Linked DNA regions of Canis lupus familiaris. The protein of the gene in region 1 interacts with the protein of each later gene in a pairwise test. Links are inferred from orthologs where the notes say so. Each region holds a gene or a part of one and is shown in the gene's direction. Other genes may lie near its edges. The genes, in order: TSC22D4, ZMYND10 and NRBP1.

Region 1 (7,316 bases):
CCAGACCCGCCCCCGGCCCCAAACCCACCCTTCCACACCCTCCAAGGACGGAATGGGAGCGGCCGCGCCGCGCTGCGCCGCCAGGCTGGGGTGGGAGGCGCGGGGGACGCAGAGCCCGCGGAGCTCGCGGGGGGACTCGGAGAAAGGTCGCGGGGCGCGGGGGACCTGGCGCCGGCCCGCCCCCGCTTTGAGGCGTCCGCTCCTCGTCGCCCCTCGGCCTCTATCCGGCCGGGCCGTGTTCGGTTCGGTGTCCGAGGCCCCGGCGGAGCGAAGCAGGGCGCAGCGCGTAGCGGCGCCCCCCGGTGGCAGCCCGGGACCTGCACCCCCGTGCGTACCCCGTGCGCGCCCCGCGCTTCCCGGGTGCGCACCCCGCGTCGGGCCGGGGCGAGGCTGCGGCTGCGGGGCCCGGGGTGCAGTGAGGCGACGAGGCCGGCAGGGGGTGCCGCTTTCCGGGCCGAGGGGCTCGGAGAGTCGTGAGCCCGACCATCCGCGTTTCTGCCCAGCAGGGGGCGTGCTCCCTTGGCTGCGCCCCTCTTCCTGCCGCCCTGCAGGTGCTGGGAGGGCATTGCAGCTGGCTCTCCTGCTGCCGGTCGCCTGTGCCTGGAGCTTCCCGGGCGCCCGGACCTCTTTCCACCGCCTGGGCTCAAAGGCTCCCGCCAGTCCGCCCGAGCGGCTCAAGTCATCCTCCCAGTAACCTCTGACCCCATGGCGCCTCCCGCCAGGTCCTGGGTGCCCCCGGCGGTCGGCCTCGGACCGGCCACAGCGGCAACCGCCCCGGTGCGGTCGAGGCGGCCGCTCAGGGTCGCGACCTCGCGCCCCCTCCTCAACGCCGCATCACCTTTCTCTTTAGCCCTGAGAAATCCTCCCTCGGAAATCCCTTTGCCACACATTAGCTGCAAGAAGACCTGGGTTCTACGCTTAAGTAGCTGAAAAATGGACCCCCAAAAGATAGCCACCTCTAATCCCCGGAACCTGTGCCCGTTACTTTATATGGCAAATCGTTGCAGGTGTGCTGTGTGGCTTTGGGCAAATCACACCACCTCTCTGAGAGATGCCTCGTATCTACCTCCATAACGTTGTTGAGGGCGCAAAAGAATTAATACGGGGAGCTTTGTAAGCCGTAAAATACATTAAAGGGCGATTATTGCTCCCAGGAGATGGAACACAAAATACAAAACAGTCCTTTCACATTTGCACCTTAGTGTGAATGAATTTTTATTTATTCATTCAATAAACATTTCTACAGAGACCAGCAATGTCCCAGGCAGGCAGACACGGAGGAGTCCAACTTGATGCTCAGAGTTGGTGGGAAGGGGAGGGTCCAAAGATAAATTTTGAATAGTTTGTAGCGTGTCAGCGCCGAAAGGAGGATCTGGGGGCGGAGCAGCCTGGCGGTGTTCTGAATATTGCCAGAGGGGAACGAGTTGGGGGTGGTGGTGGGGGACTTGTGTGGGAGGCTGCCTCCTCGACCTCAGGACTTGGGAGGCCTTAGGACCCAGCTGTGTTACTGTGAAGGGAGAGAGGCAAGGAGTGCAGATGCATTTTAACAAAGAAATGCAGAATAAATATATAAACATCCAGGCAGGAGGCATCATTTTGTTTTTCCCTAACCCTGAAGAATGGTTAAAAATTTCCATGAGCGAAAGCTGAAGAGGGAGGGATGTGTCAGCCCAGTCCTAGTCTCAATGCCATCAAATACTAGCTCTGGGGCCTCGGGCAAATAACTGACTACCTGGGAGCCTCTGTTTCCTCCCGCGGAAACGCTGAAGCTCAAAACCTACCCCATCTCTGCCCCCGACTGTTTATAGTCCATGAAATAACTATATAAAGCAGGCAAATATGAGAAATTTTCAATATGCTCAAGAATACTTCCATCTGACCAAAATTAATTAGAATCCAATTCCTTCCAAAGCTAGGAGTGAAGGCAGATGTGGCTTTTCAACCCTGCTCTTGCTCAGATTGTTGGTTGAGGGTGCCATAAAAGAGAAAGTGGCCATCAGAGGGTTATTTTTTCATTCCAGGCATTGGGTAATTCGGTAAGGCCTTCGTGTGTGTGTGTGTGTGTGTGTGTGTGTGTGGCTTCTCCAATAGCAAAGAAGGGATGGGATGGGAGAGGTGGGCGGGTAGGGCTTGTCCTCAGGTGCATCTGTGTGTACATTATGTATACATGTGTGTGTGACCAGGGTTGGAGAGAAAGTGCAAGTCAGCACATTTCTGAGTACATCTCTTTGTTTCTTTATATAGGGGCCAGACAAGGGCACACCTGAGTGTGTAGAATGTTCCAGCTGTACCACTGACAGCCTCTCGGAACCTTCCGGGTCTCAATATCCACATCTAAGAAGAGGGATAATATGGTGCCTGGGATTTTTAAAAATACTCCAGCACAGCACAACAAGAGGTATTGGGAGTATAGAAGAACCCAGGTTGGTTGTGAGCTGATCATTGTTGAAACTGCACGATGGGGACTTGGGAGTTTATCATTTTTCTCTACTTGGGGGCCCATTTGCAAATTGTCATCATAATCCACGTTTTAAAATAAAGACAGGAAAGAATAACGGAACCTTCCTCATAGAGTTACTGTGAACACCAGTGAAGATATGGCAAGAGCTGAGCAGCAGCTTATGGGGTGGCGGGCACCCAGCAGAGCCCCTGGTTGGCAAGTTCTTGCTCTCTCCGTAGGCCAATGGCAGCAAGTGCCTACAAGTAAGGGAATCCCTGGCCCCCCGGCAAACTCCTCCCCTTTTCTCTCTGCCCTCCACGGCCCCTCCCTCCGAGGAAACGCAGGATTGGGGCCCAGCAGGTGTGGGGTTAAGCCTGTTGCGGGGGGGGCGGGGGGGGGGGGCAGGAACAGCAGCAGCAGTGGCAGCAGAGGTGGTGGCAGGCCTGGCCCCGGGCCAGCTGGCCGGGAGCCCCAGGAGGCAGAGAGGGCGGAGGAAGGGGAGGAAGAGGGGAAGGAGGAGGAGGAGAGGAGCAGTCAGCAGGCCCGAGGAGGCAGGACTTCCTGGTGTGGGGGTTGTCAACAGCCCAGAAAGAGAAAGGCAGAGAGACCGGAGAGAAGAGCCGAGGAGCGGAGAGAGACCCAGCGGTTCCACGCGGAGGAGATTTGAGAGACCTGCTCGCCCCAGCCACCTAGGCGGCTCCACCTGGAGGATCGGGGTGGGGGCAGAGCCGCCTCTTCCCTCACCAGTCCCGGGACCCTTGGGGCTTCGGAGGCCGCGCCTGGGCTCCACCAAGGAGGCGGGGGTCCCTTCTTTTCTGGCGAGCAAACTTTTTACGAAGATGCCTTGCGGGGCGAAGTGCGGCCCCCGAAGAGAAGCGGACAGCCCCTGATCGCCGCCGCGCCCCCCGCGGGAAGGACAGCCCGACATCGTAGGCTCCGGGACCCCCGGCCCAGCTCGGTGGCCGAGGCCGAGAGGTAGGGCTCTGGGCTGGCTGGGCGGGGCGCTGGGGCAGCGGGGCAGGGCCTGCCCGGGATCGGGGAGCTGGGGTGCGGGCAGCCTGGACACTCGGCAGAGGCCTCCCGGCGGCGGGGCCGACCGAGGAGCTGCTTCACCCCTGCTCGTCCAAGGCCCTGGAGCCCCCTCCTGCTGTCGGGCGACTCGGTCCTGTGAGTCTGAATCCCAGGCAAGAAATGCCCAACTTTGGTCTGGGCCGCCCCTTCCTACTCTGTGGGACCGCTGGGATCTCCTGGTCTCAATCGTCTCTGCCAGTCTCTTTGTCTCTGGGTCTCTGGTGGTTTCCCCTTCCTCCCCCATCCTGCTCCCCAGAGAGGAAGCCCCAGAGGTGGCCTGCCCACTGCTTTCTCACACACACACACACACACACACACTCTCTCTCTCTCTCTCTCTCTTTCCAGTTTGCAAACTCAGCTCTGGAGTTGGGCAGCGCCAGGGGCAGGAAAAACCTGCCCCTGCCCCTGCCCCCACCTCCTGCCACCTCCCCTGCCCTGTGCTCCCTTTACCAGCCAAGTACCCCCAGTTCCTGCAAAGCCCTCCTGCCATGTCGGACCCAGATGTCCCCAGGGGCCCTGATGCCCCCGCCATGTGGCCCCCCTGTTCCAGGGGTGCCTGAGCCCCTGGAGGAGCCCCAGCTGCACCCCCTGCCCACCTTGGCCGAGTCCTGAGCCCCAGGGACCATGAGTGGGGGCAAGAAGAAGAGTAGTTTTCAAATCACCAGCGTCACCACGGACTATGAGGGCCCAGGGAGCCCAGGGTCTTCAGAGCCCCCTGCCCTGCCGGGCCCCACCGCGCCCCCACCCCGTCTGCCTAACGGGGAGCCCAGCCCCGAGCCAGGGGGCAAAAGCACCCCCCGGAACGGCTCCCCACCACCTGGGGCCCCCGCCTCCCGTTTCCGGGTGGTAAAGCTGCCCCATGGCCTGGGAGAGCCTTATCGTCGAGGCCGTTGGACGTGTGTGGATGTTTACGAGAGAGACCTGGAGACCCCTGGCTTCAGCCGGCTCCTGGAAGGAGTTCGAGGGGCCTCGGGGGGCACTGGGGGCCGATCTTTGGATTCCAGGTTGGAGCTGGCCAGCTTGGGCCTGGGTGCCCCAACCCCGCAGCCAGGCCTGTCTCAGGGCCCCACCTCCTGGCTCCGGCCGCCCCCTACCTCCCCTGGACCTCAGGCCCGCTCCTTAACCCGGGGGCTGGGCCAGCTGGCAGTACCTGGTAAAGCCAAGGTGGAGACACCCCCTCTGTCAGCCTCCCCACCCCAGCAGCGTCCCCCAGAGCCCAGGACAGGGGATAGCGCCGGCCCCTCCCGGGCTGCCACGCCCCTGCCCTCCCTGAGGGTGGAAGTGGAGGCTGGGGGCTCAGCAACAGGGACCCCTCCACTATCCCGATCAAAGGATGGAGCCCTGCGGCTGAGGATGGAGTTGGTTGCTCCAGAGGAGATGGGGCAGGTAAGAGCTGGGTTCTGGGGTCAGGGAGACACCTGAGGGGTGGTGCTTGTTCATCTGGGCCTGGGCCTAACCTCCAGCTTGGGCCTCCCTGCCTCCACCTCCTTACCACCCTCTCCCCATTCCAACAACACGTGTCTGTCCCTCTTTTCTCTTCTTGCCCTCTTCCTGGGAAGTAGTCCATCCTCCTCTTCATGCAGCCTTGTTTTCTTTCTCAGGCTCCCTCTTCCCCTATATCCTGCACCTTCTTTCTTTCTCTAAGCCTTTGTTACCTTTGGCCTCCATCTCTGTTTCCTTATAGCTTAGTGCTGTCTCGCCATCACAGAGATGTCGGCTTCACACTTTGGCCCTCACCTTCTGTCTTGGTTTCACCCCTTCTGGCTTCAGGCATGGGGGATGGAGGTCCCAGATGGGGGTAGGTGCTTGGGCCTCTGGGAGAGGAGCTGTCCAGGTTGGTGGGGAGGGGTAAAAAGAAAGTCTCCCTGGCCGCACCACGCACCATTCCAAAGGTGACGGTCTGTCTTCTTATTAGCCACTCATCCCAGCCCCATCTGCAGCTTTGTCCCAAGTCAAATTTCTCCAAGGACGTGATGAACTAGGTGGGATGGAGGGCTTGGCGGTGTGTCCTTTCTGCCCTCAGGCCCCTGTCTCCGCTCCCCTGCATCTAGGCCTCTCCATGATTGATAACTGGGGGTGGCCACCAGGGAGTGGGAGAGAGGCAGGAAGCAGTGGAGAAAGAGTTAAATCCTCTGGTCTTTCTGCTTCCTGTCTCCAAAAGAGGAACAAGTCTGGGCTGGGGGGCAGGATGCCTGGGTCCCTGGGGTGAGGGTGGGCCGCCAGGGATGTGGGGGATGGATGTGTCTGTCCTGAAGGAGAAAATAACACCTTGGACTTCAGGAGCGAGGGCAGGGAGTGTGAGGATGAGAACTTTTCCCCCTTCCTGGCCTTGGGCACAAACCACAGTATAAAAATAACCTGGGACTGGATGTCTGGGCCCTGTCAGGACCGGTCAGGACCGGCTACCCCCACCCCCTCCTGGCCTCAAACTCACATATCTCATGCTGCGCCCCCTACTTTTCTGGAGCTTTCATTAAATTCCTACCCCAGGGGAGAAGATGCTCTTTCCTTTTCTAGTCCCTGTTCTCTTGCTCTTCCAGAGCAAGCCCCCTTTGCTCCAGTCTCTCTGTGTCCTTAAGCCCTGTCTGAGCTTCCCTTGGGCCTGCAGACCCTGCCCCTCTGTCCTCAGTGCCCTCAGAACCCTTTCCTTTCCCCCACATCCCGATCCCTCCCTGTGTGCATGCATCTGTGCTGCTTTTTCCTGGCCCCGAAGTCTGGCTCCGTTCCACACTCCCCCATGCCTCTTCCCTCTCAAGAGTGAGGCTGAGAGGAAGGCTGGGGGGACACCACCTGGGCCCCCTTCCTCTGCTCCGGCCCTCTAACCGCTCTGGACTCTCTGTTCTTGGCTTTTCCGAGAAGCAGGGGCCTCCTGGGGCCTCACAGAGGCGGCTTGTTCCTGTGGCCCCCGCCCTTTTGCAGCCACCCCCAGTGCCTGTTGGGCTGTGTGGGTCTGTGCCCGGGCTCCGCCTCCCCCCATCTCCGCAATCCAACCACCCTCCCTGCCCCAGGGCCCAGCGCAGGAGCAGAACTTCACCTGAATCTGAGAAGTTTGAGAGAAGAGGCTAGAATGGATAGAGTGGGGTGGGAGGAGGACCGGCTTCTGAGGATTCATTCATTCTACAAATAGCTATTGAACAAACTATAAGCTCTGCCCTCTGGAGCTTACCTTCTAACAGCAGGGAGGCAAAAATACTTTAATTTCAGATACTATTCAGTGCTCTAAAAATAAAATAGAACAGTTCAGTGGAATTCACTAGTCGAATGATGGGGAAATGCCTCTCTGAGGAAGTGATATTCAAGTGGCTTTTAAAAAGTCAGGTGACAGAAGGCAGACACTTTCTGCCTAGCCTCTGATTGGGGGTCCTGGTTCAGCTGGTAGAAGAGTGCTAGAGTACAGACCAGAGCCCCTTTCTGGTACTCTGATACACCACGAACCACTTTCTGGAAGCTGCTCACCCAGTCCTCAGGATGGACATTGTTTCCTTTACTCTGATACCTGCCTAGTTGCCTCCACTAGACCCAGGGAAGAAAGGGCCCTGGGGGCAGGACCCCTGGGTCCTCGAAGAGAGCAGAGATACATGGGGAGAGATGAGGAGGCTGACTACTAGGCAGGTTGCAAGGTGGCTGGTTCTTTTCTTGCACTGGATGTGATGGTTCCTACCTCTCTGCCTCCAGGTGCCCCCACTCGACTCTCGCCCTGGCTCCCCAGCCCTCTACTTGTTCCCCGATGCCAGTCTGGTTCACAAGTCTCCAGACCCCTTTGGAGCAGCAGCAGCCCAGAGCCTAAGCCTGGCCCGCTCCATGC
Region 2 (7,199 bases), on another chromosome or scaffold:
TGCTTCAAGGGTTGCTGGGAGGACTGAAGGGTAATTGAGGGCCTCTTGAAAGAGATGACACTGAAGATATGGGTGGGGCCCCTACAGATGAATCCAACACCATCCACTTGAAGGTGATTGAGCAGCGGCCTGACCCTCCTGTGGCGCAGGAGTATGATGTGCCTGTCTTTACCAAGGACAAGGAAGATTTCTTCAACTCACAATGGGACCTCACCACACAACAGGTGAGCTGTCCCTCCCTGGGTATCATCACCTAGGGGTGGCCACAGCTCTGGCCTCATCCCACCTCTACTGATCCTGCCCTGCCCAGATCCTGCCCTACATTGATGGTTTCCGCCATGTCCAGAAGATCTCAGCTGAGGCAGATGTGGAGCTAAACCTGGTGCGCATCGCCATCCAGAACTTGTTGTGAGTAGGGCAACAGCCACACTCAGGACAGAGCTGCTAGCCAGGGAAGAGCCCCAGGACACTGAGTGTGTGGGGTGGGAAGGCATGACCCTCAGAAGCTGAGCACACTATCTCCCCCAGGTATTATGGAGTTGTGACACTGGTGTCCATCCTCCAGGTAGGTGAGTCTAGGCTTTGGTTAAGGGGAGAATGAATCATGTGGCTTGGCCAGACTAGGGCTATGTCAGATTTCCAAGCCCCTCACTCAGGCCCCTGTGCCTCCTGCTACCCTCCAGTATTCCAATGTGTACTGCCCAACACCGAAGGTCCAGGACCTGGTAGATGACAAGTCCCTGCAAGAGGCATGTTTATCCTATGTGACCAAACAAGGTAGTAGTGGGCTCTGGGGGAGGCCATGGCGGGGCGGGGGGCGGGCAGAGCCACCTACAGAGCTGACCCCTGGTACCCATAGGGCACAAGAGGGCCAGCCTTCGGGATGTGTTCCAGCTGTATTGCAGCTTGAGCCCTGGCACTACTGTGAGAGACCTCATTGGCCGCCACCCCCAGCAGCTGCAGCGTGTTGATGAACGGTCAGAAGGGGATTCCCAGGGTCATGAGGGGTTTACCTAAAAGCATATACACTCTGTATGTCTCTGGAGCCTTGGGTTAGAGAGGAAGCAGGAGATTCCCAGTGAGCAGAATCATGTGGCACTACTAGTCTAGGCAGGCTTTCCAAAACCCCAGGCTTTGGGTTTGGAAGGCAGTCTGGTCATTGAGACAAAATCTGAGGGGAGACTGCAGAAAAGGGTTGGCTTGGCTGGAGGAAGGCCCAGCCAGGGCATCACTCTTCTCTCCCTCAACCCCACCCCAGAAAGCTGATCCAGTTTGGGCTTATGAAGAACCTCATCCGCCGACTACAGAAGTATCCCGTGCGGGTGTCTCGGGAGGAGCGGAGCCACCCTGCCCGGCTTTACACAGGCTGCCACAGCTATGATGAGATCTGTTGCAAGACAGGTGGAGGCAGACATTGCAGCTGGGGTGGGGTCAGGGCAGGTGGCCAAGGCAAGACTGCTCATCTCACCTGCACTGTCCCAAACAGGCATGAGCTACCACGAGCTTGATGAACGGCTGGAAAATGACCCCAATATCATCATCTGCTGGAAGTGAGGCTGGTGGGGGCTAAACTAGGCACACGACTGTGGCTGCTTTCGTCCTGCAAAGCGCTGTCTGGTGCATGAGGGCTAGACCCGTAGACTAGTCCGTATTGTCTCAGGGGTGACCCTCAGTTCTGTAAATAAAAGCATCTGTTTCAACCTACCTTTATTGAGTATCGCCTCTGAACCAGCCACCTGAGAACTGGCAGTGAAATAGCGGTGGTCCTGGCCCACTGCTGCGCCATCTGGTGGCAGGACTAACTATGGACAAATGTGTCCACTAATTAGGAACTGAAATAAACAGCCAGAAAGGAACAATCAGGTAGCTGTGATCAAGAATGGGGTGGGGTGGGAGCTGAAGCTGTTCTGGATTAAATAAGCAAGGAAGGCCTCCCTGAGGTGACTTGAACTGAGGCTTGATGGAGGAAGAGTATTCCAGGTTGGGGTAACAGGTGCAAAAGCCCCAAAGCAAAAACAGCTTTAGGATGTATGAGGAACTCCAGAGAGGCCCACAAGGCTGGAACATAAGAGGCAATGGGGAGAGGGGCAAGAAATGAAGTACCGAAGGGGCAAAAGTGATACTGCAGAGATGCTGGTAAGCTGGTTTGGACATACTATTTCAAGAACTGGAGGCAGCCATACAGTCACCCAGAAAAAGATTACAGCAGTTAGTTCCTCACGAGAGGTGGTGGCAGCCTGTTAGACTGGGATGGAAAGACGTGGCCCCTACGCAGTACCTGGGGGGGTAGAGCCAGCAGGCGGAGCCCGGCGCCAGACGTAGTGGAGCGAGAAAGCCACGGAGAGGGGCATCCGCGCGGCGGAGTTGGAGCCGCGACAGGAAGAGCTGGTGGGGGCAGCATGACCCTGTCCCTGAGCTGGTCTTGACGTCGGAGGAGGGAGCTTAGGCCACAGGAGTCTGTCGCTCAGGGCAGACCCTCGAGCCGCAGTCGGAGGTGAGGGAGAAGTTTGGGATCCAAGGGGCTTCCTTACCCGCCGCGGGGAAGGCGAGGCGGCCGGGGCCGGGGGCGGGGCCGGAGCCTGCGCGGGCCGCACTGCGCAGGCGCCGAGCTAACCGTTTCCATGACGGCGAGGACCCACGCGCCCCAACCGCTCCGCAACAGCTGCGTCCACAGCCTGGACCCAGCCGGAGACTTTCGGCTCCCCTGCCCCAGCGCCGGCTGCTGTCCGGGGTCAACTGAATCCCGCCTTCTGGCTCCCTGGCCCTGGCCACAACATGGGCGACCTGGAGCTGCTGCTGCCGGGGGAGGCTGACGTGCTGGTGCGGGGGCTGCGCAGCTTCCCGCTGCGCGAGATGGGCTCCGGAGGGTGAGGCAGCTGGATCCAAGGGTCGGGCGGTGTCACAGAGTCAGAGTCCTTGAATGGAGGAGTATGGGCCTGACACGGGGGAGAGGGTACCCAGTGTGGAGGAATCCCCAAGTGAGGAGACAAAGATCTCTGAGCCCCCTCTGGCCCCTCAGGATCAGGTTAGGCTGATTAGGTTCAGTAATACCCAAATTCAATAGTACCCAAACCCAGGTTAGGCTTCAGTAGCACCCCAAAACACATCCACCCCCTCTCTCTGGGGCAGGTGGAACCAGCAGCATGAGAACCTGGAGAAGCTGAACATGCAGGCTATCCTTGATGCTACAGCCAGCCAGGGTGAGCCCATCCAGGAGCTGCTGGTCACCCATGGGAAGGTATGCTGGGGTCACGGGCAGGGTTCCTGCCCTTCCTACCACCTCTCACCCCACCACTCTACCTCTCAGGAGCACCTCGGATGCCTTCACTTCCCTCTAGATGGTACTCTTGTCTTCCCCAAGAGAAAAGAGAGGAGTGTGTTACAGATTTGATTTTGCATCCCTTTTGGACAGGACACTGGCACACTAGGCCAAGTGTGAGACGTTGGTTGATTTGAGAGATAGTCGTAGATCATACAGCAGCCCAGGCTGTAGGGGGAGAGCCTACGTTCTAAAGACATCCTTGAATAGACTGTCAGGCCAGAGGGGGCCCTCACTGAAGTGGAGGTGGAACTTTGGCATGGAAGAAGGCAGCCTTCATAACTTGAGAGAAGAATTAGAAACCAGGGATGAGCCTACCTGGAAAATGAGCCAGGAGGTGACTCAAATAAATGACCTGAGATATCACTTGACAAAAGGGTTCCTCTGCAAAGAAAAGGTGGAGCCCCCTACTGGAGGGTGGGAGAGGACTAGGAAATTGTGCAGGGCCCTGAGTAAGGGTGAGGTCAAGGCACATGAGAACCTTGGAAGGCAGGAGGACAGGGACAAGGAGGGCATGAACAGGAGAGCCAGCCTGAGAGGAACACCTGGATGAGGACAGAGGGGACAAGGGTGTAGTTGGGGTGGGGAGGTGTAGGGGGCCAAGGCAGCCCAGGGACAAAGCAAGAGCCAGTTATAGGAAGCATGGGGAATGTCCCCACAAAGTTATTGAGAGCAGCTAGAAATGAAGGTCTAAGGTGCAGGAGAGAGCTTGGGAAGGTACCTATGGAGAGAATCTAGGAGCCTAGGGGAGTTTGAGGAGTCAGGCAGGACCAAGCCAGGGATGGGAGGGTGGCAAGGCCAAGGTAGGCCTACTTCATCTCTGTCCTTTCCTCTCCCCCTCAAAGATCCCAACACTGGTGGAGGAGCTGATTGCAGTGGAGATGTGGAAGCAGAAGGTGTTCCCTGTGCTGTGCAAGCTGGAGGACTTCAAGCCCCAGAACACTTTTCCCATATACATGGTGGTAAGCTGGGCCCCTGGTCACACCCTGCTCATGCCTTTAGAGGGCTCTGGATTTGACAAGAGAGCTGGTAATCTGATTCTTCCTTCAGTGGCTCCACGCTCTGTTCTCTTTATCTGACAGGTACACCACGAGGCCTCTATCATCAACCTTCTGGAGACAGTGTTCTTCCATAAAGTGAGGCATCAGCCCTGTCCACAAGCTGTTGCCACAGGCTAAGGCCTGACTGGGAAGAGGGGTTGTGTCTGTGTGGGGAGAGCATCAGAGACAGAATGTTCCCCTCTGCCTGTCCCTCAGGAGGTGTGTGAGTCAGCAGAGGACGCTGTCTTGGACCTGGTAGACTACTGCCACCGAAAACTGACTATGTTGGTGGCCCGAAGTGGCCGTGGCAGCCCTCCCGAGGAGGAGTCTCAGGAGAGCACCCCCATTCAGGTAGGCTGAGGGTCCCTGGAGGTGCCAGTGGGTATAACACGCTCTCTCAAGGCCTGAGCAGGCAGGGGGTGGCCCAGCTAGAGCACCATGTGCCCCTGCCACCCAGGAGCTGCAGAAGCAAGCAGAGCTGATGGAGTTTGAGATCGCATTGAAGGCCCTCTCAGTGCTGCGCTACATCACAGACTGTGTGGACAGGTGGGCAGTCCTGCAAGGCCCAAGACCTGCAGTGGAGGACTGGGATCCTGGGCCTGTAGCCGCCGCTCACTTCTCTCCACCACCACCCCTAGCCTTTCCTTGAGCACCTTGAACTGCATGCTCAGTACCCACAACTTGCCCTGCCTCCTGGTGGAACTGCTGGAACACAGTCCCTGGAGCCGACAGGAAGGTGGTAAGGTCTTCCCCACCCCCTTGCCTAAGCCCCAGCTCATGGCTTCCCAGACATACCCCAGGATTGATGGGGACAGGCAGCTTGCTCACAAACTGCCCGCTAGCTCATAGAGGAGCCCAGAATGCCTCACACAAACTAGCTTAGACCTGGGCTTTGCAGCAGGTAAGGCCTGTGTGTCCACTGCTAAAGACTCACCCCGCTCTGGAGCAAGCAGACACCAGCCTTGGTGAGTCGTGCACCCGGGCAGCACTCAGGACCCCAGCCCATTCAGTTGGCTGACTCAGAGTGTGTAACACCTGCTCCTAGTGTTCTGGCTCCTCTCTCCAGGCAAGATGCAGCAATTTGAGGGTGGCCGTTGGCAGACAGTGGCCCCCACAGAGCACCCAAAATTGAGCAAGTTGGATGGGCAGGTGTGGATCGCCCTATACAACCTGCTGCTAAGCCCCGAAGCCCGGACCCGCTACTGCGTCACCAGCTTTGCCAAGGGACAGCTACTCAAGGTGGGGGAGCTCCTCCTGCACCAGTGCCACCCCATCCCACCCTGCCCTGCCCCACCCCTGCTGCTTATCACTGCCCACCTGCCTCAGCCCCAGTCCTCTTTCCAGACCCTGAAGCTCAGGTGTCGCAGCAGCTAGTGGGACGTGGTCCCCACAGGCACCCCAGCCCAGGCCCTCCCTGGTCAGCACCACTTCACACTGGCCTTCCCTGGACTCCCTTGCAGCTTCGGGCCTTCCTCACAGACACACTGCTCGACCAGCTGCCCAACCTGGCAGACCTGCAGGGTTTCCTGGCCCACCTGGCCCTGACGGAAACCCAGCCCCCAAAGAAGGACTTGGTGTTGGAACAGGTAGGTACCAGGAAGTCAGCTGCTCAGGACTACTGCCCACCTTGCCAGCTCCTCCCTGACACTTTCCACTTTTCTCTCTCAGATCCCAGAAATCTGGGAGCGGCTAGAAAGAGAGAACAGAGGCAAGTGGCAGGCTATTGCCAAGCACCAGCTGAGGCACATATTCAGCCCTTCAGAGCAGGACCTGCGACTACAGGCACGAAGGTGAGGCCCACTGAGTGGGCAGAAGGGATAGGAGGGATGCAGAAGGCATGGACACAGGCAGAGGTGCTCTTGTGCCCCCACTGGCCAGGCACAGCCAGCCTTTCCTGACCTCTTTCTTAGATGGGCTGAGACCTACAGCCTGGACGTCCTAGAGGCAGTAACCCCAGAGCGGCCCCGCTGTGCCTACTGCAGTGCAGATGCCTCCAAACGGTGCTCACGGTGCCAGAATGAATGGTATTGCTGCAGGTGAGGGTATCCTAGGAACTTGGACCCCTAAGCCCCACTTCTATACCCCGCACAAGCACTGCATGCTTACCAGCCCACCTGCCTGCAGGGAGTGCCAAGTCAAGCATTGGAAGAAGCATGGAAAGGCTTGTGTCCTGGCAGCCCAAGGTAACAGAGCCAAGTGAAAGCTGCAGCTGCTGAGGGCCAAGCACCCATGCCCTACAACCCACCCCCAGTGTGCCCTTGAACCTCTCGAAACCTCAGCCAGGGCTCCAGCCTCCCAGGTGGTGAGCAGAGCGAGCGCCGCGAGGTAGTGAGCACAGCGAGCCCAGCAAGCTGCTGACCCATCTTCCCCAGTAAAGGCTGCTCGCTTCCTGCCCTACCCTGCGGGTAGGCTGAGGGTGCTGCCTCAGCAGCTGGAGCGGGAGGCCTGGGCGAGGCAAGACAAGGGCCGGATGTGGGGACCCTGTGCCTCTAGCACAGTAAAGCTAGTCTCTAGAAACAGCCTGTCTCCGAGTGGCCCTTCTTGGTGGTCGTCGTCTTGGGACGGGGGGCGGGGGTGGGGTGCACCCGGATGCAGGAAGAAAAGGAAAGGGAGCGCCGGGACTCTGCGAGATCGCCCCCCGCCCCTACTCCGCCTGCGGGCCGACACAGCCCGGGCACCCGGGTTTGCACTGCGCCGCTCGCCCTGGTTCTCTCGCCGCCCAGCCTAGATCCCGGGGGCGGCGCCGCCTCGCGGCCCGCCCCGCGGCCCCGCCCGCCCCGCGCTCGCTCGCGCCCAAAGCCGGCGGGAGTCCGGGCCCGACCCGGCCATGTCCACCGAAC
Region 3 (7,294 bases), on another chromosome or scaffold:
TACTGTGCTCAGCAAGGATCCTGATACGGAGCTCAATCCCACGACCCTGAGATCATGTCCTGAGTTGAAATCAAGAGTTGGATGCTTTTTATTTTCTTTTTAATTTTTTATGATAGTCACAGAGAGAGAGAGAGAGAGAGGCAGAGACACAGGCAGAGGGAGAAGCAAGCTCCATGCAGGGAGCCCGACGTGGGACTCGATCCCCGGCCTCCAGGATGGCGCCCGGGGCCAAAGGCAGGCGCTAAACCGCTGTACCACCCAGGGATCCCAAGAGTTGGATGCTTAACTGATTAAGCCACTCAAGTGCCTCTAAACCCTAACATACTTTTTTTTTTTTTTTAAGTTTTATTTACTCTTGAGAGAACAGAGAGAAGCAGAAACATAGGCAGAGGGAGAAGCAGACTCCCTGAGGGGAGCCCGATGTGGGACTTGGTCCAGGGGCCCCCAGACCATGCCCTGAGTCCAAGGCAGATGCTCAACCACTGAGCCGGCCAGGTGTCCCCTTTACATACTCTTGATATTGTTATTTGATATCTTTTTTTTTTAATTTTTATTTATTTATGATAGTCACAGAGAGAGAGAGAGGCAGAGACACAGGCAGAGGGAGAAGCAGGCTCCATGCACCGGGAGCCTGATGTGGGATTCGATCCCGGGTCTCCAGGATCGCGCCCTGGGCCAAAGGCAGGCGCAAAACCACTGTGCCACCCAGGGATCCCTGATATCTTTTTGAAGAGTAACTTGGCAATATCCATTCAAGTTAAAATGTTCTTAGCTCCTGACTTAGCAATTCTACTTATATAACCATATAAAAATAATTTTCACAAGCAGGCAAAGATATGTGCAAGACTTTACTTCAGCTTTACTTATAATAATAAATGTTGGAAATAACCCTGATGCCCCCTGGTAGTTAGTAAGTAAACGCTGGACAATGGAATACTTCACAGTGGCTAAAAGATTAAAATAGTGCTATATGAGGGGATCCGTGGGTGGCTCAGTGGTTTAGCGCCTGCCCTCAGCCCAGGGCGTGATCCTGGAGTCCCGCATCGGGCTTCCTGCTTCCTGCATGGCACCTGCTTCTCCCTCTGCCTGTGTCTCTCATGAATAAATAAAATCTTAAAAAAAAAAGAAAAACAAGGAGTAATTTGAAAAAGATTATGTATTATCAGCTTGCTTTCATTTTAAATTATATGCACATATATTAATACATGCACAGAAAAATGGATACATACATCAAAATCTTAATTCTTCTGTTGAAATAGGATTACAAGAGATTTTCACATTCTATAGCAATTGTTAATTCACAATATTCCATAGGATTCCTGTAAGGATTAAATGAGTTAATATGTCATAAGGCAATTGAAACAGTGGACCATAGCACATAGAAGATATTACATAAATATTTTTGAAATATTGTTTACAATAAATTTTATTAAAGCAGAATAAAATGAGGTGGCGAAAATGCAGTGTTTGAGCTGTTTAAACATGAAAAGTTAGAAATAAAATGAGAGCTGGAGGACGCCAATGGGTCCTCTATGCATATTTGAAAGAAGGAGTTAGTTAAAAAGGAAAGGTTAATAATGATAAGGTCCAAACAGAAGAGAATGGGAAACTATAATAATATTAACTGATATTTAATGAATGTTTATAGGGGAGCAGGTGCCCCAATTGCCTTGGAGCCCACAAGGAGAAAGGGTTAACCTGGAGAAAGGGAGAAACAACCTTCCTTTGAAGATTAGAACAAAAAGATTTTTAACTTCAGTCTTTTGAAATTATATGCTAAATTTAGGGGACAAATTCATTTCCTAAATATCCAAAACAAGATCCATAACTTTCATCAGATTTCTAAAAGAATGTGTGAGCCCTCTGAAACGTAAAAGAATCAAGGATGAAAGATTGGTTGCAAAAGTATTTTGAGATGAAGAGATAAGAAAACGAGAGGGCTTTTGCCATATATTCTTCTTTACATTAGTTAAGAGGATTAAGAGATACCCTTTAAGGACAGTGAAATTTAGTGATTATCGCATTGCCAAGTTCTGAAAACCGATTCATCCTCCTCCCTTCAAAATACACGTCTAATGGCAGAGCGAATTTCTACCGCTCAGGCTCAGCGTTTAGTTTTCGCAGACCAATGGGCTCACCCCGGATCTTTCCCTTTCACTTCCTTGAAGTCAATCCAAATTCTTTCCAAACATCTTTTCAAGGAAGCCTTTGATAAATCTTACTGTTTGGATGCTAGATTTGGCTCCTATCAACTTTTGGTGAATAGCCTTAATGCCTCTGATTTCGTTTTTTGCATGTGTCAGTTAGCCTTTCAATTTCTTATACGGATCAAACGAGTCATCTGTGAAAACCTCCTGCAAAGTTTTGGCAAAGGTCGGTGCTATGCAATTTTCAGGATACGTTCAGGAAAAATTTTAAGCTGAAGAACTGGTGTCCTGCGCAGTCTCGCCCCTTACAAATAATGAAAGTGGGTGGGCGCTCCTCCCGGTGTGAGGCTACGTCTTTCGCTCCTTTTGTCTTTTAGTCGGAACAGAACTGTCATGGCGCCTTCAAGAGGAGACGGAAGGCCTTCCTTTCGCCCGGCGGACTCATCGGGGGCACCTGGACTGGACGGAGGGGTGGACAGTGAGACCAACCCCAGCCGAGACCCAACACACCGATGCCTCCGAGAGGTCTCAACCGGACAGGCTCAAGGGGAGGAGACCGGCTTGGAGACTATGGCAGCGAGCGGCCGTCTTCCCGGGGCACCGCCCACCTTGGCCGCCCCATCCAATGGCAACCCAACGGCAGTGCGGCACCGCCCATCTGTTGGTCGGGACGCCGCGAGGGCGGGGCCCGCAGTTCGGTTGCGCTGCGGAGCGCAGCTGTGAGGGAGTCTCTCTGGTCCGCGGCCCCGAACCCGAGCTGGAGCTGAAGCGCAGGCTGCGGGGAGCGGAGTCGGGAGGTGAGCGCCGAGGGGAGGGAGCGGGAGGGACGGGTTCGGCGACCGGACAGAAGGGTCGGCTTCCGCGGCCCGACGCGCCGGGACCCCGGCAGGCGGGTGTCTGGAGGCTGCTCTGCTCGCTCGGCGGCCCGAGGCCCGGCCCGCCGGAGCCCAGGGGCCGCCCCGGCCCCACAGTCTCGGCCGGGCCCTCCCGGCCTGCCCTGAGTGGCGGCCACCCGGAATTCTGCCGGCGCGGGGCGCGGGGCGCGAGGCCCTGGCGTTCGTGTCGAACTGGGGCTGACGAGAGGCGGGGCCGGCCGCGGGGGCGGGGGCGGCGGTGGCGGGCCCCGCGGCCTGCGGAAGCGCAGCGTCGGGGCCGCGCCTGCTGGCGGAGGCCGGCGCGCCGACAGCGCGGGGGCGTGGCCTGCGCCCCTGACGGCGCCGCGGGGCTGGCCTTTGATGAGGTGGCGGCGGCTGGCTCCCGGGCCTGCGGGACCCGCGGCGCTCGCAAGCAGACGGCGGGCAGGGGACCTGTTGGAGCGTGAGGCCGTTCCCTGCGCTTGCTTTGACGTCTGACCACACAACCCTGTGGGTCCCGGAGGCCCTGTGGTCGGCTCGGGGTGAGGGCAGCCCAGAGGCCTGTGGCCTGCGAGCTGTTGCTGAGGAGTTGAAATGCAGAGGGGCTGCAGTCCAGTAAATGAAAGTCTCCGAGAAAAACTTTGCGCGACGATCTACCTACACTGCTCAGAAGTGAACACAGTATTCTCGGGGTGGCTGGAAGCGGCGAGGAGATTCCCTTGTAGGGGCGTGAATGGCCTTTTCCGTATGTGATCTCTTAAACCTCTGAACGACCCTGAGAAGAAAACCCCAGCGTTGCAAAGGTTTCTTCATCGGGAGGGGAAGTGCTAGGGCATCTTGGGCAGTGCCTTGGTTTTGCCTGCTGGGGAAAGATTGGGGAGGGAGAAAACAAGGACACGGCTGTGACTGGTAAAGGTTTGGCTTCTTTTGTGGTGCTTTACTGTGGATTGTCTGTGACCTGGGTCAAGAGGTTTCCTTAGAATCCATTGGCTACAGGCTTCCTGTATTGGAGCTCCAGTGGTATTTCCTATTGTCATCTAGCTGGAATTTTTACTGAGCTGTTCAGATTCAAGATGCATTCTATAAATATAGCTGCTCTAGAAAGTAATCCCTATGAACTTTCTTACCATTTTCTTAGTTGCTTTTCAGGGGGGAAGAAAAAGGAAAGTGATCTCTAACTGGTGTTCTGGTACATTACTAAGACAGCTTTCTTGTCTGGTTGAATAAAGTCTATGATAGGCAGGACCTAGATAATAACAGGCAAAGAATATCTTGCCAGATTTTCTCTGTAGTGCTTTATGGTTATCTGGTATTTACTAGAATGTCATCTTAATAAGAATCTGATTTGGGTTAAACATAGTGTAAATTGGGGGTGGAGATTGGCAGAAGGGAGTATCCAGGAGTTCTAAAATAAGAGCTTTTTGAAAGATTGTTGTTGATCAGAGGCTTCTGTATTCTGAATTTAGAGGAGGAAGTCTACTTTCCAGAATGTCACTTTCATATGGAGCACTCCTTTGAGCCCAGCACACACAGGTTTCAGCTCCGTCATAGCCTTTGTTCTTAGAGAGATGGAATAACATTCAGTGGTTGTCCTGCAACTGTCTGGATAAGTTAGCGACATTTAGCTTGTGAGAATTCTTTTTCTTCCAAATAGCCATGTGCCTTAAAAAAATATTGTACTATATAGTATTTTTTCTTGTAACTGCTGTATTTTGAGTTATTTGTTCTTTTTAAAAATTTTTTTGTTTTAAAGATTTTACTCATTTATTTGAGAGAGAGTGAGCTTGAGCAGGGGAAGTGGGAGCCAGACTCGGGGCTCAATCCCAAGATCATGTCCTGAGCTGAAGGAAGATGCTTAACAGACTGAGCCAACCCGGCACTCCTTGAGTTATTTGTTTATGAGGGAATATCTCTGTCAGATCTGGTATCCCCGAGGGTGGAGCCTTTGAGCTGTTTGGATGAAATGAAAGCTGGAAGCTGAAAGTTCTAGATTTGTTTAAATTTGTGGTTCCATAAATGTGGGCATCTCATTTATTTTATTCACTATTTTATCTCTGGTACCTAGCCCAGTGCTTGGCCTACAGTAAGTGCTTAATAAATATTTGTTGAATGAGTGAATGAAAAAAAAATGTTGCTAACCAATACCCATTTGCACACTCACATCACAGGGGAGGTGAGGGCATCAGGGATGAAGTCACTAACCACTGCCAGTTACCTGGCCCAAGGGTATCCTCAGCATGGACTAGTAGACTTGATCTATGTGTAGGAGGGATGGATAGCAAATGCCAGAATTCTAGTGGAATAAATTAGCTTGAGGGTTTCATCTGGATAAATTGGCTGAGAGTGCTACAGGTCCAGACTTAGGGCTGAATCAGTGAAAGATTTTGGGGTCTAGAGTCATCTGAATAGGGCCATGTAGCTTAGTTCTTGAACACATAAAGGCAGGTGAAGTTTTAAAGGAAGATTGTTGGGTGAGTATTGCTGAGAAGGAATGGTGTCTGTCCCTGATTTGGCTGTTCATTTGAACCTGAAAAATGGGAGTTATATTGTCATAAATCTTAGGTTTGCCACTCCTCATGGGTCATCTTCAACCACGATAGCTTCACTTCTCTAGACTAAGAAGTAGTTAATGTTTCAATGTTCAGACAGAATTAATTTGATTTTGGACTTAAAGGAAACAAGGGAGACCGATGTTTTGTTTTGTTTTTTAACCCCAGATGAGGTTATTAGGATTAAGCATGGAGCCCAACATGGGGCTTGAACTCATGACCCTGAGATCAAGACCTGAGCTGAGATCAAGAGTTGGATGCTTAACTGAGCCACCCAAGTGCCCCAGGATTAAATCTTTATAGATCTATCCTGACCCTTTCTGCCTTCTTCCTTCATCCTTGCCCCAACCAATACAGGCCTGAGTGTTCGTTCCAGCATGTCGGAGGGGGAGTCCCAGACAGTAGTCAGCAGTGGCTCAGACCCAAAGGTAGAATCCTCATCCTCAGCTCCTGGCCTGACATCAGTGTCACCTCCTGTGACCTCCACCACCTCAGCTGCTTCCCCAGAGGAAGAAGAAGAAAGTGAAGATGAGTCTGAGATCTTGGAAGAGTCACCATGTGGACGCTGGCAGAAGAGGCGGGAGGAGGTAAAGTGATGGTAGTGTCACTCTGGGGGGAGTGGAAAGGGAAAGTCTCAAAGGGTCACACCAAACTTTAACAGATCAGAGCCTAGGAGAGGATGATCATTTGGAGTATTAAAATGGTTTATACGATAACTTTAGTAATTCCTTTCCATTTGGATTTCTTCTCAGGTGAATCAACGGAATGTACCAGGTATTGACAGTGCATACCTGGCCATGGATACAGAGGAGGGTGTAGAGGTTGTGTGGAATGAGGTCCAGTTCTCTGAGCGCAAGAACTACAAGCTGCAGGAGGTAGGTAATGGTGAAAGAATGTAGCCCGTAGGGTATTAGAATGCAGGCGTTAAAGAGAAATTGGTGTTGAGAAGCTGATTAGGAGGAGAGGATGTTGGGGTTAGATTATTTCTGGGGAGGGATAGGGAATGGCTTTTCAGGATTACAGTAATTTCTGAACCTTGTTATCCCACTCTCTCTCCTGCCCTCAGGAAAAAGTCCGTGCTGTGTTTGATAATCTGATTCAGTTGGAACATCTCAACATTGTTAAGTTTCATAAGTATTGGGCTGACATTAAAGAGAACAAGGCCAGGGTAAGAACTTTTTCTTGAACTTACTGCAAAGAGACTAGCTACATTTATTGTTCTTTTTACATTCAGAGATGAAAATAGATAGTTTTGAAACAAAACTGGAATCAGCTATTGTGGAGGTGAGAGTAGGGCTTTGCCTACTATGATCTATGATGCCTTTTGTTTGGTTATGGACGGGGCAGAAATGAGCAAACTTTTGTTTCCTTTCCATAGCTCTTATTGTTCAGTAGGGTTTTTTCTTTCTTTTTTTTTTTTTTTTCTGTTTGTTTGTTTGTTTGGTTTTGTCCTGTTAAATCTAAGGAAGTGTTGCTAACAACAAAAGGAGGGAAACTTAAAATAATCACCACCACCAGGTTTCAGATCTAATATATATCTGGTATATGTGTCAACAGATAGGGAATCATTCCTACTCTAAGGTTTTATTTGAGTGTTTTGCCTCTCCAGGTTATTTTTATCACAGAATACATGTCATCTGGGAGTCTTAAGCAATTTCTGAAGAAGACCAAAAAGAATCACAAGACTATGAATGAAAAGGTATGAAGGGAGAGCAGACAAAGCTTTAGGCTAGTTTGGGTGTTT

Evidence for each region.
Region 2: the proteins of TSC22D4 (region 1) and ZMYND10 interact in binary tests that used the Homo sapiens proteins (3 or more experiments, as listed by UniProt). The two-hybrid records come from large-scale screens. The link is inferred for Canis lupus familiaris from reciprocal best matches to the Homo sapiens genes TSC22D4 and ZMYND10.
Region 3: the proteins of TSC22D4 (region 1) and NRBP1 interact in binary tests that used the Homo sapiens proteins (3 or more experiments, as listed by UniProt). The link is inferred for Canis lupus familiaris from reciprocal best matches to the Homo sapiens genes TSC22D4 and NRBP1.

What each region holds. Positions count from the first base shown.
Region 1 is NC_049227.1:9,139,767-9,147,082, forward strand, and holds the start of TSC22D4 (TSC22 domain family protein 4), read left to right. Parts: upstream 1-3,054; 5' UTR 3,055-3,415; intron 3,416-3,856; 5' UTR 3,857-4,135; coding exon 4,136-4,897; intron 4,898-7,186; coding exon 7,187-7,316.
Region 2 is NC_049241.1:39,415,092-39,422,290, forward strand, and holds ZMYND10 (zinc finger MYND domain-containing protein 10), read left to right. Parts: upstream 1-2,632; 5' UTR 2,633-2,775; coding exon 2,776-2,867; intron 2,868-3,129; coding exon 3,130-3,238; intron 3,239-4,164; coding exon 4,165-4,281; intron 4,282-4,401; coding exon 4,402-4,455; intron 4,456-4,575; coding exon 4,576-4,710; intron 4,711-4,816; coding exon 4,817-4,905; intron 4,906-4,997; coding exon 4,998-5,098; intron 5,099-5,425; coding exon 5,426-5,598; intron 5,599-5,819; coding exon 5,820-5,945; intron 5,946-6,027; coding exon 6,028-6,149; intron 6,150-6,269; coding exon 6,270-6,395; intron 6,396-6,483; coding exon 6,484-6,559; 3' UTR 6,560-6,878; downstream 6,879-7,199. Other genes in the region: GATOR complex protein NPRL2, read left to right, coding at 88-224, 311-408, 529-565, 684-777, 860-977, 1,259-1,401, 1,487-1,554; RASSF1 (ras association domain-containing protein 1), read left to right, coding at 7,187-7,199. UniProt on the Homo sapiens protein: Plays a role in axonemal structure organization and motility. Involved in axonemal pre-assembly of inner and outer dynein arms (IDA and ODA, respectively) for proper axoneme building for cilia motility.
Region 3 is NC_049238.1:21,439,591-21,446,884, forward strand, and holds the start of NRBP1 (nuclear receptor-binding protein), read left to right. Parts: upstream 1-2,539; 5' UTR 2,540-2,772; coding exon 2,773-2,944; exon of another isoform or gene 2,945-3,046; intron 3,047-3,407; exon of another isoform or gene 3,408-3,543; intron 3,544-3,569; exon of another isoform or gene 3,570-3,595; coding exon of another isoform or gene 3,596-3,746; exon of another isoform or gene 3,747-3,804; intron 3,805-5,907; coding exon 5,908-6,137; intron 6,138-6,302; coding exon 6,303-6,425; intron 6,426-6,616; coding exon 6,617-6,718; intron 6,719-7,159; coding exon 7,160-7,249; intron 7,250-7,294. UniProt on the Homo sapiens protein: Required for embryonic development. Plays a role in intestinal epithelial cell fate and proliferation, thereby involved in the architectural development of the intestine potentially via the regulation of Wnt-responsive genes.